Linked DNA regions of Xenopus tropicalis. The protein of the gene in region 2 purifies or fractionates together with the protein of the main gene of each other region. This does not show direct contact. Links are inferred from orthologs where the notes say so. Each region holds a gene or a part of one and is shown on either strand. Other genes may lie near its edges.

Region 1 (3,755 bases), on a different chromosome or scaffold from region 2:
GCTAGAGAATGCTGGGGGGGAGCTGGAGCATGCTGGGGGGGAGCTGGAGCATGCTGGGGGGGAGCTGGAGGATGCTGGTGGGGGGAGCTGGAGGATGCTGGTGGGGGGAGCTGGAGGATGCTGGTGGGGGGAGCTGGAGGATGCTGGTGGGGGGAGCTGGAGGATGCTGGTGGGGGAGCTGGAGGATGCTGGTGGGGGGAGCTGGAGAATGCTGGTGGGGGGAGCTGGAGAATGCTGGTGGGGGGAGCTGGAGAATGCTGGGGGGGGAGCTGGAGAATGCTGGGGGGGGAGCTGGAGAATGCTGGGGTGGGCAGCTGCAGGATGCTGGGGAGTGTATGGGGATGCTGGGGAGTGTATTCCATACTTGATTATCAATAGGTATCAAAAGATATTTGTGCTGTTTCCATACAGGCAACGAGCAATCTTGTTGGTAAAAATTGTTGATAAAAAGAATATCCTAGAACTGCTCTCTGGTATTACATGTTCTGGCCTAAAGTCATTCTACTGAAATGGATTGTAAAAATGTTCAAACTTTTTAATGTTTAACCCTATATGGCATTTGTCACAGTAAAGAAGCCTTTGATTTATCTATTCTGCAGTGTATAACTATTGGGAACATACAGAGGGGCAACATCAAATATTTATGACATGCAAGGGGCTAAATTCAAAATGATAATGCAAGTAATATTAGGCAATAATAAAGTTAAAACGTTGTCACTACTGCCATTATTGTTTTTGTAGTTTTGGTGATTTACTTCTGTATTTCCTAGCTTGCAAAATGAACTGCCCCTCAGTATCTCAATCTAAACAAGGGGCCATATAGCCATAGTTTTAACATACATTATGTAAGACAAAAAGAAAACAAATATAAAAGAACTTACAGTTGCCAGCAGTCGGTTGATGCACATGGCCCTTTGTTTGGCTTCAATGTGAGGCATCTCATTTTGAATAACTTGGTCAGTGATACCATGAGGAAACTGCTGGCACAGCTCAATAACCCTAAATATATAGAAAAAAATACCATTAAAGAACTAGAAAAAGCTTAAGTGTAACTGTGTTAAGTGTTTATGAGACTGTTGACTTTCTCTAACATTTTATTTGTAATAATTTTGGCCCCTGATGTTAGTGGAAGGAATGCACAACACATGCAGAATATTTAGATCATGTCCAGTATGAAAGAACTGCTACCCCTTATGTGAGCCAACAACTGCAAGAAACAAACGGCTGGAACGGAGTATTATGTGACTAAAAATCACACTAACAACAAAGAGGATGTTTAAAGAACCGAAGCCATTGCTGCTTTTTTTTTTTTTGGACAGCTGTAATAACAGCCACCCTCCATTGGTAGACAGATGTTGGATGTTTTTTGGTACTACATGCTGTACTACATACACCAGAGGCAGTCTACAGGTCCGGACTAAGATTCAAAAGAGGAATTTCATGTACAAAGGCCCAAACAGCCCCCCACAGGTGCAATACATAGTGACGTTCTATGGCATCTTGCAGCAGCCACTCTGGCATTGGCCAGAATCCATAGACTGTCAGACCGGGCCTGGCATAAACACACTTGTTTTTTTTTTAATTCGGTGTAACTTTATCATAACCACATATTTTTATTGTCCCTTTTTACTATAAGACAGTCCTTAAAAGTTTCCTTTAAGGGGCAGTATATTTCTTTTTACCATGAGCTAAACAATAAATATAGTTTTTCCAAGTAATGTATGGCTTTTAGTTATTTCTTGCACTAAACAAAGACACTGACAGCTTAAATTTTCTAGTTTCCTGGTTCTGCCAAATCATCATTTGTGGTAAAACAAATCAACAGTATACAGATAAGCACTGGCTGCTCCTAATCACAAAGTCTAACAAAGGCTACATCTTAGGAGAGAGTGGATTTGCTTTATACACAGCTCATTATTCTCATTTAAACAATAGTGGGGAAAAACAAAACACTTTTATTTTAGTGCTTTATAACTACAAAACATTTGATAAATGTTAAAAATATGGATTTTTAAACTAAAATAAAAAAAGATTACATTCTCAACACAAGACTTATTTAGTATGCTGATGTTTAGCAAAAGTGTCTATAGGCATACACTGGCCTCTACAGTTTTAGGTTTCCTGCAGATAAAAACCCCACATCTTTTAGCAAATGTGTTCATGTCTCATCAGTCAGCCACAGTGTAGGTGTAGTCATGTCCTTTAGATAAGGTATAGCTGAGATTGCCATGAAGCTTTTCAAAATACTAGTAGGGTTCTAATGCCTGGTCTGGGACCACAGCTCTGAAGAAAGGCTGGATATAACCTGGGACAGACATTGAGCAAGTCAATGCGTGACAGCAAGTGACACAACTAATAAATAACTTTAGTTTTCTGCTATAACTGTAAGCATATGCTGCCAATATGATTATATTGATCAATGTGTCTTTCTAATGCAAGGGACTTTCATTTAAACCTTATGTAATTGAAAAAAGTAAACCAACATAGCCAAAACGCCAAAGACATACTCCGCTTTGCACCGCTTACCTGTTCTCTATCTCCGCTGCCTCCCCACCTTCTTGCTTCACCTTCGCTTCTGACATGTTTATTTGAGTCCCTATCCTTTGCCCACGTGTCCCCCTTAACGACTGTCGCCCCAACACCCCCAGTTCAGGTAGCACTAGCGCTGCAGCTCGATCAGCAGAAAGTATCGGCAGCCATTTTGCTTTCGGGCAAAAGGGAGCGTTTGGAACGGAACAACTTCCGAGCGGACAATATATTTTCAAATCAAAGGTACTACGTCTTTTAACTAAAGGACTTCGCGATTTACGTTGTCGCTAACCAAACATTTTCACGCTTTACAATTTCCAAATACAGCAAGTCGTCTGTGTAGCATTTGCTGCGGAAATACGTCATGCATAGGAGCATGCGCTTTGAGAGTGTGAAGAAATATGGGCGATGGTTTATTAGCGTCATCTTCGCATCTTTAGTTGCTAGGCAGCCAGACTTGACCAATGAAAAGGGCAGACACCGTCAGGAAGCAGGTTTTTACTACACCGCGTCTCTAGTAACGGGAGGTGGGACAAAGGCTGCGCCGGGGTCCACAGTGGGATATTTTATCAAGGTAAGTCAGGGTGCTATCAATTTAGACTAATGAAGAGTCTGTAGGTTACTGCTCGCCATAGATAGTGCTCTGCAGCTTGCGAACTTATGCTTTTCGAACTCAATGCTATGTGATTCGATGAAGCCCATTAACTTCTAGTTACATGTTTTTCAGTGGCTGAAATATTTTTATATTTTATACGTTTTTATAAAGCGGGACTGGTGTAGCATGTACAGTACATGTATGTAAGCTCATCTCATGCACCAGATTGTCTGGGAGAATTATAGCCTCAGAATCATTTTATGGCTGTTTGACTAATTAAAAGTTTTGCTAAGTACAAATGCTGACAGGACAAATACAATAAATCATTTAATCAATTTCTAATGTATTCATTTGAACTGCAGAAAGTTGGGTACAGTGGCCAACAAATGGTGACAATGTCCCTTAGTGCAATGTTTTTGGTCAAGAGACAGTAGCGTACCTTGAGTGGTCTGGCCCCACCCCCACAAAAAAAATATCTTCGGAGGGGCCCGGCATGCACGCTTAAGCTCAAATGAGAGCCAGCAAAGTGGACATTTAGAAGTGACTATGGATGGCAAACTACACACAGTGGACCTCATGGCCCAGCTTCCGCCCCCCATGGTCATGGGGTCTGCTGTATAGGTAGTTATGC
Region 2 (3,755 bases):
TTACTTATTTTTCTAAGTAGGCCCCTTAACTATTCATATTCCCATCTCTTGTTTAAACCACTACCTGGTTGCTAGGGTAAATAAGACCCTAGCAACCAGATAGCTGCTGAAATACCAAATGGAGAGCTGCTGAACAAAAAGCTAAATAACTGAAAAACCATTAAAAATAAAAGTGAATTGAATGCGAACTACCCCTTTAAGCTAACTGATCACAAACACAAATGTTTGCAGATCCCGCGTGCGCGTATGAATACTTTTACATCCTAAACATTTTAGGGTAAAAAAAAAAAAGCACCCCCACCCGCACTTTTGTACAGTATCCCTGGTAGTCAGTGGGAACGGCAAGAGGTAGTTGGGAGGTTAACTTTTTACGCCAGCAGCGAATCCACTAAGTGTCACATTAGCTGTAGGTCGGACTGTGTATGGGCCATCTTTAGCCTCCCCTAGTATCATCCTGCAAAAAAAAAATATATATTTTTAAATATATATATATATATATATTTGTCTGTTGCAGGATGATGCTAGCTTACTTGCCCCCCCTTGGAAAATTTTCTGCGGACGCCCATGTTTGTAAGGATTATATGGTAGGGGGAAAAATTTTTTGCTGCGCACGCTGCAATTTTTCCCCCTTTCTCTTCCTAATTAGCATATTTCGGGTTTGGGATTCCTAGATTATAATCACTTACCTATGACTGGCTTGGGGTATTATCCTTATTAGCGCCATGCAGTCATCTTATTGCTGTTCTCTGAATCTTTGCAGTGGCCCTACTCTGTGTTTAAGTGCAAGAGAAGCCTACCTGTCATTTCACATTGAATTACACATTTTACTATGCTGCACATAGGCACAGGACAGGCCTCACAAGAATAGTACACAGGGCCAGTGTATTTTAAGTGAAAATAATAATGATGATTATAATAACTGTATGAGGGGTTTGCACCTCCCTCCATTGACTACCCATTTCCTTTTTTAAAGGAAGAGAACAGTTTTTTCAAGTTTTATAAACACACCAGTATTTTTAATATGAACACAGTTACTAACCATACAATAGTGTTACACGCACATATATCATTAAAAATTGTATAAAGAAACCACTTACCAGCCCATTGGTCCCATAGTTTCAGCTCGGATCTTGCCACGTTTTGCTTCTTTGAGAAGCTCTTCTACAGCTTTCCTGCATCGGCATAAAAGAGCAAGAAATTAGCATTAACAATATCGGCTGTACAGCCCAACATATATAAGTATTGCTACATAAATAAAAATCTACACACATGTTTTGGGGGGAAAGTTCTTTTACACCAATTTAAAGAGGACAAAAAATGTATCAAACGCATGAAATAAGGCCTATTAACATTATTAAACATTAGTATACTTTACGTTTTTTTTTTAAAAATTCCATTATTTCAACAAATCTGCCTCCAACTAGCAGTCTCTTCTTTTGGTCTCCAGGCAAGTACACTGAATATGTATTAATATGGCAACGGCACCAAAAACTGCATGACCAAACTGCTTTTATTGGTTTACTATTTTATTATAAGTGGGCTGAGAGTGTTCTAAGCAAAATCTATGGGACCTACAAATCCTGAACCATGCACAGTGCTTCCCAGAGACATGTAAATGTGCACAATCCTAATTCCATCTATGGCTGCTTGGTATTATACCAACCCAGCCGGTCAAAATAATGCTTGATGTCAATGTTATTAATAGGGAAGAAAGATAATTACATAGAAAGGCCAGTATTTTTTTTTTTTTTTACAAAAAAGTGAAAACCAAAATCACATCTCTAATTGCTGCTTTATTGATGTAGTTTAACTTTAACTCCCACTGCAACAACCAACCCTGGAAGCTGTAATTCCACAATACAAAAAGGGCTATTGGTTGCCTTTCAGTGATATACATGAACCACAGTCTGGCCAGCTGGCTTTCAGTACCAGTAAGAGCTCTCTATAGCCTACGGATCAACACTATGGGGCAGATTTACTAATCCACGAACGGTCCGAAGGCATCCGCATGCGTTTTTTTCGCAATGATCGGTATTTTTGCGACTTTTTCGTATATTTTCTGCAACTTTTTCGTCGCCGTCGCGAAAAAATCGGATTGGTTTTTCCGCCGTTTACAATCGCTCAATACGAAAAAATTGCAACGGCGACGAAATAGTTGCGCAAAATACGATAATGTCGTGTCGGCGACGAAAAAGTCGCGACAAATACGAAAAAGTTGCGGCGGCGACGAAAAGACGGCAAAATTTTCTTTCCAATCTGAATTTTTGCCATTCCGGTTTCGGATTCGTGGATTAGTAAATCTCCCCCTATGTATTCCTAACAAGGACCCAAAAGTAACTGCACCCAATCAGTCCCCACTTCCCCAGCAACAGCTGTCCCATAACAATTCATGTATATATTATTATTTATCCTTCACCCACTACCCAAGCAGTCTCTGCACTATAAAGCGTTCACTGGGGTAAAACATAGACAGCTCACAAGCAGCAGCATGCAATTTTATTTCTATTTCGCATATACTTCGTACCGTTCCAATTCGTCTTCCTGCATTTCTGCTCTGCAGCAAAGGAACCCGGAAATACACTGGCGAGATGGCAACAACGCCAAGCAGCGCAGCGACTTCCGGAATGGGCGGGGCCAGAGGCGTCACTGAGCTGCGGAGTGCCTCCCTAGTGCTGAAGGGAATATATATATATATAGTTTTGGGCAGCGCTGTGAGATCACATGGATAGTAAAATATTGATTAACACTACGACGACTGTCATCAATGGTTAAAAAAAGTTGTGGAATGATTGTGCTAAGTTTACCCAAACTCTGGCGCAAAACCATAGGGGGTTTTGGGGGGGGCAAGTTGGAGAACACAGCAAAGTGGTTCTAGTGTAGGGATACCCTAACTTTTTTACCTGTTAGTAACTTTAAAATGAGTTGGGGAACAAAACAAACTTGAAAAACCTCAGAGATTGTGCCAAATACTGGCGTATTGAGAAAACAATTTCCACTCTGCATTCCTCCCTGTCACTAATGCCTGTAGGTTGGCAGCGCGGTTAAAGGAACAGTAACGCCAAAAATGAAAGTGTATTAAAGTATTTAAAATATAATGTACTGTTGCCCTGCACAGGTAAAGTTGTGTGTTTGCTACAGTAACTCTACTATAATTTATATATAATAAGCTGCTGTGTAGCCATGGGGGCAGCCATTCAACCTTGAAAAAGGAGAAAAGGCACAGGTTACATAGCAGATAACAGATAAGCTCTGTAGAATATAATGGGGTTTTATCTGTTATCTGCTATGTGCCTGTGCCTTTTCTCCTTTGAATGGCTGCCCCCATGGCTACACAGCACCTTTGTTTATATAAACTATAGACTTTCTGAGGCAAACACACCAGCTGTACCAGTGCAGGGCAACAGTTCATTATATTGTAATTATTTTTATACACTTTCATTTTTTGCCTCCAAGCCAGGAATTCAAAAATAAGTGCCTGCATTAAGGCCTCAGGGAGTAACATTAAATGGGATCACTGTGCTAGTCCCTTACTTGCTACACAGGAATGGTGTTTCTCTTTTTCAAAAAGTGCAGCAGCCCAGGCAGTCGGACTGGCCCCCCAGGATACCAGGAAAACTCCCGGTGGGCCCAGGTGTCGGTGGGCCCTCCTGCTCCTGACCATTTGGCCTGCTTCATGGCCATTCCCTATTTCTGAATGGGAACAGAGAGGAGAAATAGTGTAAATAAAAAAGACTAGGAGAATAAAGAGGGTGGGT
Region 3 (3,755 bases), on a different chromosome or scaffold from region 2:
AGAAATAAACAGTACAGAACTTAATAAAGATGAACTTCTAAACTATATGGACTCACAAAAAAAAAAAAAAAAAGATTTTTGTGGGAAGGTGATACTGTTTATTGGTTAATTAATTTTAAACGGTATCATGTTACCACCTAAAATCTTTTTTCTGAAACTATGGCTAACACATTACAATACTCTGCTGCTACTCATCAAGAAGGCACCTAACGTTCCCATGTGCACCCACCTATTACATGTCAGTGTGTATGGATAACAGAAACGTTTCAGTATGAGTGAAAGTGTTTCTTCCCCTTCTGTATTAAAACTCACCTCATGCTCTGTGATATTAATCAGAAGCTCCTGTTGTAGAAACTGCTCCAGAATGTATTTGGGTGCCATATCCACCAGGGACTGCAAAATAAAGAGATTGCTATAAAGATAGGAAAGCTGGCAGAAGCTTTGGATAGTATTTATTATGGACTAACACCATGTAAACATTTTACTACATTAACTGATAATTTAATAATTAAAATATTTTTTCAGATTTTGGCAGTATTTATCCTATGCATAGGAAACAAGGTTTCAACTGGATTGAAGTCAAAAGGGCTCACTTACAAGAAGTAGGTGCAGAATTGCCAATTTTTTTTTTTAACGTCTTTATTATGATTTAGCATGAAAAGGTTACATTCATATTTATATGCAATGACCGGTCCATCCTCTTTCCTATATCATAGGAGAGAAGGTTTATAGTTGTCCTTTACCTTTCCATCAGGCAAATAAAGTGATTCGATCCTGTTTTTAGAAAACGTGGTAGTAGTATTAAGTAATAATCATACAATATTAACTAGTAACTAATTAACTAGTAAACGTCTGCCTTTATCTTACTTGCCAGAGAACATAAAACGGTAACCTGCTTATACTTGGATAATATGACTATGTTAGTTCATCAGCCAGAATTGCAAATTTTAAACAGCATACGCATATGACCTGCACCTACTTGCACCCAAGCCCTGTGCTTAACATCTGGTTTGACCTGGTGTTATGCAGACCCAGGCTGAGATTCAAAATAGGCCCTAATATTTCAAATACACAAAGGCCCAAACAGCAACTGTCTGTGGGATCTTACAGCAGTTCCTCTGGCATTTGCCAGAATCCACAGACTGGCAGTCTGGGCCTGGTGTTAAAGGAACAGTAACACTAAAAAATAAAAATGTTTTAAAATAATTAAAATATAATTTACTGTTGCCCTGCACTAGTAAAAGTTGCGTGTTTGCTTCAGAAAGACTACTATAGTTAATAGAAATAGCTGCTGTGTAGCCATGGGGGCAGCCATTTAAATTGAAAAAAGGAGAAAAGGCACAGGTTACATAAGAAGATACCAGATAAACTGTGTAGAATACAATGGGAATCTGCTACTTAATTGTTATCTGCTTAGCAACCTGTGCCTTTTCTCTTTTTTTCAATTTAAATGGCTGCCCCCGTGGCTACACAGTAGGGTATTTATATAAACTGCAGTAGTGTTTATGAAGAAAACACACAACTTTTACCAGTGCAAAACAATAGTATATAATATATTAATTATTTTTATACACTTTCATTTTTTGGTGTTACTGTTCCTTTAAGCACTGGGCCTCCTTATGCACTCATAGCCAATCAAGGTTGTGGAAGCTGAACTGCACATGACTGACAACCATGTAAGTGTATGCCTATGCTGCAGGAAGGATGCTGCACTGAGGGGTAATATGGCAAATTGCACTTTTTTGCATTTAGCAGATGAGATCTATAGTTTTAATAATAGGTGTATTCCTTTTTAAAGAAGGGTCTTTCAAACTTATCCCATTTTTAAGATAAAAAATAAAGCTTAGGTGTCTTTTGCCAGCAAAACATACAAATCACATAGAAAATTAATTCATCGGAGTAGTATATATTTTATCTGTACATTTTCATTTATAAAAGCTTTGGATCAGAACTGCAGTTCACCCAGTAAGTATGCTTAGGTAAGGTGCACGTTAGCTGGCAGAATTACCTGTTTGGCAGATGGGGTCATTCCCTGCTGCACCACGATTAAAGCCCTCGTAATGTTCTCCTCCTGCATTCTCTGGCAATACATCTTAATTGTCTTAATGCCAACTTTGGGTTCCTCTACAAATAAGACAGGCAAACATGTAATAATCCTTTGTCTGCATGTATAGACCCTTCAGCCAGTCACTGTTTTTTTTTTTTTTTTTGCACCTACTCACCTGGGAAGAAAACAAACATTTGGTCTGTGGGATCATCATTATGAGCTACTAATACAGTCAGGTCAGTTCGGCGAGGGCGCCCTTCGCTAGGTTTGTCCCCAAACTGGGCTTTAAACTCATCCAGTGTCTGATCCAATTCATCCTGCGTTACTAAGTAACCACGGTCATGGCACAGCTGGCGAAGGAAAGAAGGATGCGAGTGAAACAGGTAATATGGAGACAGATGAGGTAAAGCACAAAAGTAAAAGTGACAGGGACGAAGAGTACAGTAGAAGTATATGCTGGAAGCAGAAATGAATGGTACCCAACACAACGTAGCTGAGTTCGAATTACTGAAAAAGGCGAAGATTATAACACAAAAAGATTTAAAACTCAATTTTCTCACCTGCATAATAGTTTTGCGGATCTTCCACAACCGGTAAGTTTCCTCCTCATCGTCCATGTTGTCTCCACGAGACCAAACAGGAAGAAGAGCGCGATTTCCGGAGCTCGGCTCCCTGGGCTGCAGGAGGACCCTACATGGGCTGCCCTCACTCTGCCTGATGGCTACAAGCGAATACTGCTGTGGGGTATCTCTGAGGACGTGTTATTAGCTTAAAACTGCACTGTGGAAAAGGAATAAAGTTGCGCATAATATCGTTTCCCTTTTTTGCTGAAGGTGGCTATTCGGGTTGTAGAATTTGTTCAAGTTTCGGTATCACGCTAAGGAAGACCAAAGAAATTGCATCGTCGCAGTTGAAGGGCTCGGCCATGTTTGTGGTAGGCAAGAAGCCGGCGTACATGTTCTTGTAAAGATCACCATTTTGTTGGTGGGTATTACTACCGTTCCTATATTCATCGTCTTCGTGTATTTATATTGCGTCACATAGTTACATGGCGCTCTGCATTAATATTATAAGTGGCTAAGTTTAAGAGTTAACCCTCTAAAGGTATAGGGATTAGTTATTGGCAAAAGAGGGTGTGGTAATGTGCCAATGATAGGCTAACTACAAGAATTACGTAAACTAAATATTCTTTAGAAATACTTGTTAAACTGTTTTAAGGCGAGCAGTGTTTTATTAAGATTTTTTTTTATTTTTGCCCCAAGCCCCATTTTGATATATAATATTATCTTTATGTATGTATATATATTTTTATTTATATAGCACTACTTATGTACCCAGCGCTGTACAGTAGGACAATAAATGAATAGAATAAACGGGACTATTACAATAAAATAAATACAAAGTATGATAGTAAATACAAGGTAAGGATACAATACGTTAAATTAATACTGTCACGGGAAAAACGTATTTTTTAAAAACATATCTGTTAATAGAGCGTCTCCAGCAGAATCCTGCATTGAAATCCATTTTTCAAAAACACAAACTGATTTTTTTTATATTTAATTTTGAAATTTCACGTTGGGCTAGCCATATTCTTCATTTCCCAGGGTGCCACAGTCATGTGACCTGTGCTCTGAACTCACACTTTACTGCTGAGCTGCAAGTTGGAGTGATATGAACCCCCTCCCAGCAGCCAATCGGCAGAATA

What was found. The genes of interacting proteins can lie anywhere in the genome.
Region 1: the proteins of uncharacterized protein LOC496835 (region 2) and polr3f purify together in Homo sapiens (affinity purification with mass spectrometry; 3 studies listed by BioGRID and IntAct, with this or other methods). This does not show direct contact. The link is inferred for Xenopus tropicalis from reciprocal best matches to the Homo sapiens genes POLR1D and POLR3F.
Region 3: the proteins of uncharacterized protein LOC496835 (region 2) and polr2e purify together in Homo sapiens (affinity purification with mass spectrometry; 4 studies listed by BioGRID and IntAct, with this or other methods). This does not show direct contact. The link is inferred for Xenopus tropicalis from reciprocal best matches to the Homo sapiens genes POLR1D and POLR2E.

Annotation. Positions count from the first base shown.
Region 1 is NC_030681.2:38,388,006-38,391,760, reverse strand, and holds the start of polr3f (DNA-directed RNA polymerase III subunit RPC6), read right to left. Parts: upstream 2,745-3,755; 5' UTR 2,583-2,744; coding exon 2,527-2,582; intron 1,000-2,526; coding exon 882-999; intron 1-881. UniProt on the Homo sapiens protein: DNA-dependent RNA polymerase catalyzes the transcription of DNA into RNA using the four ribonucleoside triphosphates as substrates.
Region 2 is NC_030678.2:155,277,952-155,281,706, forward strand, and holds the start of uncharacterized protein LOC496835, read right to left. Parts: upstream 2,554-3,755; 5' UTR 2,548-2,553; coding exon 2,525-2,547; intron 1,173-2,524; coding exon 1,098-1,172; intron 1-1,097.
Region 3 is NC_030677.2:100,196,858-100,200,612, forward strand, and holds the start of polr2e (DNA-directed RNA polymerases I, II, and III subunit RPABC1), read right to left. Parts: upstream 2,675-3,755; 5' UTR 2,665-2,674; coding exon 2,608-2,664; intron 2,398-2,607; coding exon 2,223-2,397; intron 2,125-2,222; coding exon 2,009-2,124; intron 394-2,008; coding exon 313-393; intron 1-312. UniProt on the Homo sapiens protein: DNA-dependent RNA polymerase catalyzes the transcription of DNA into RNA using the four ribonucleoside triphosphates as substrates.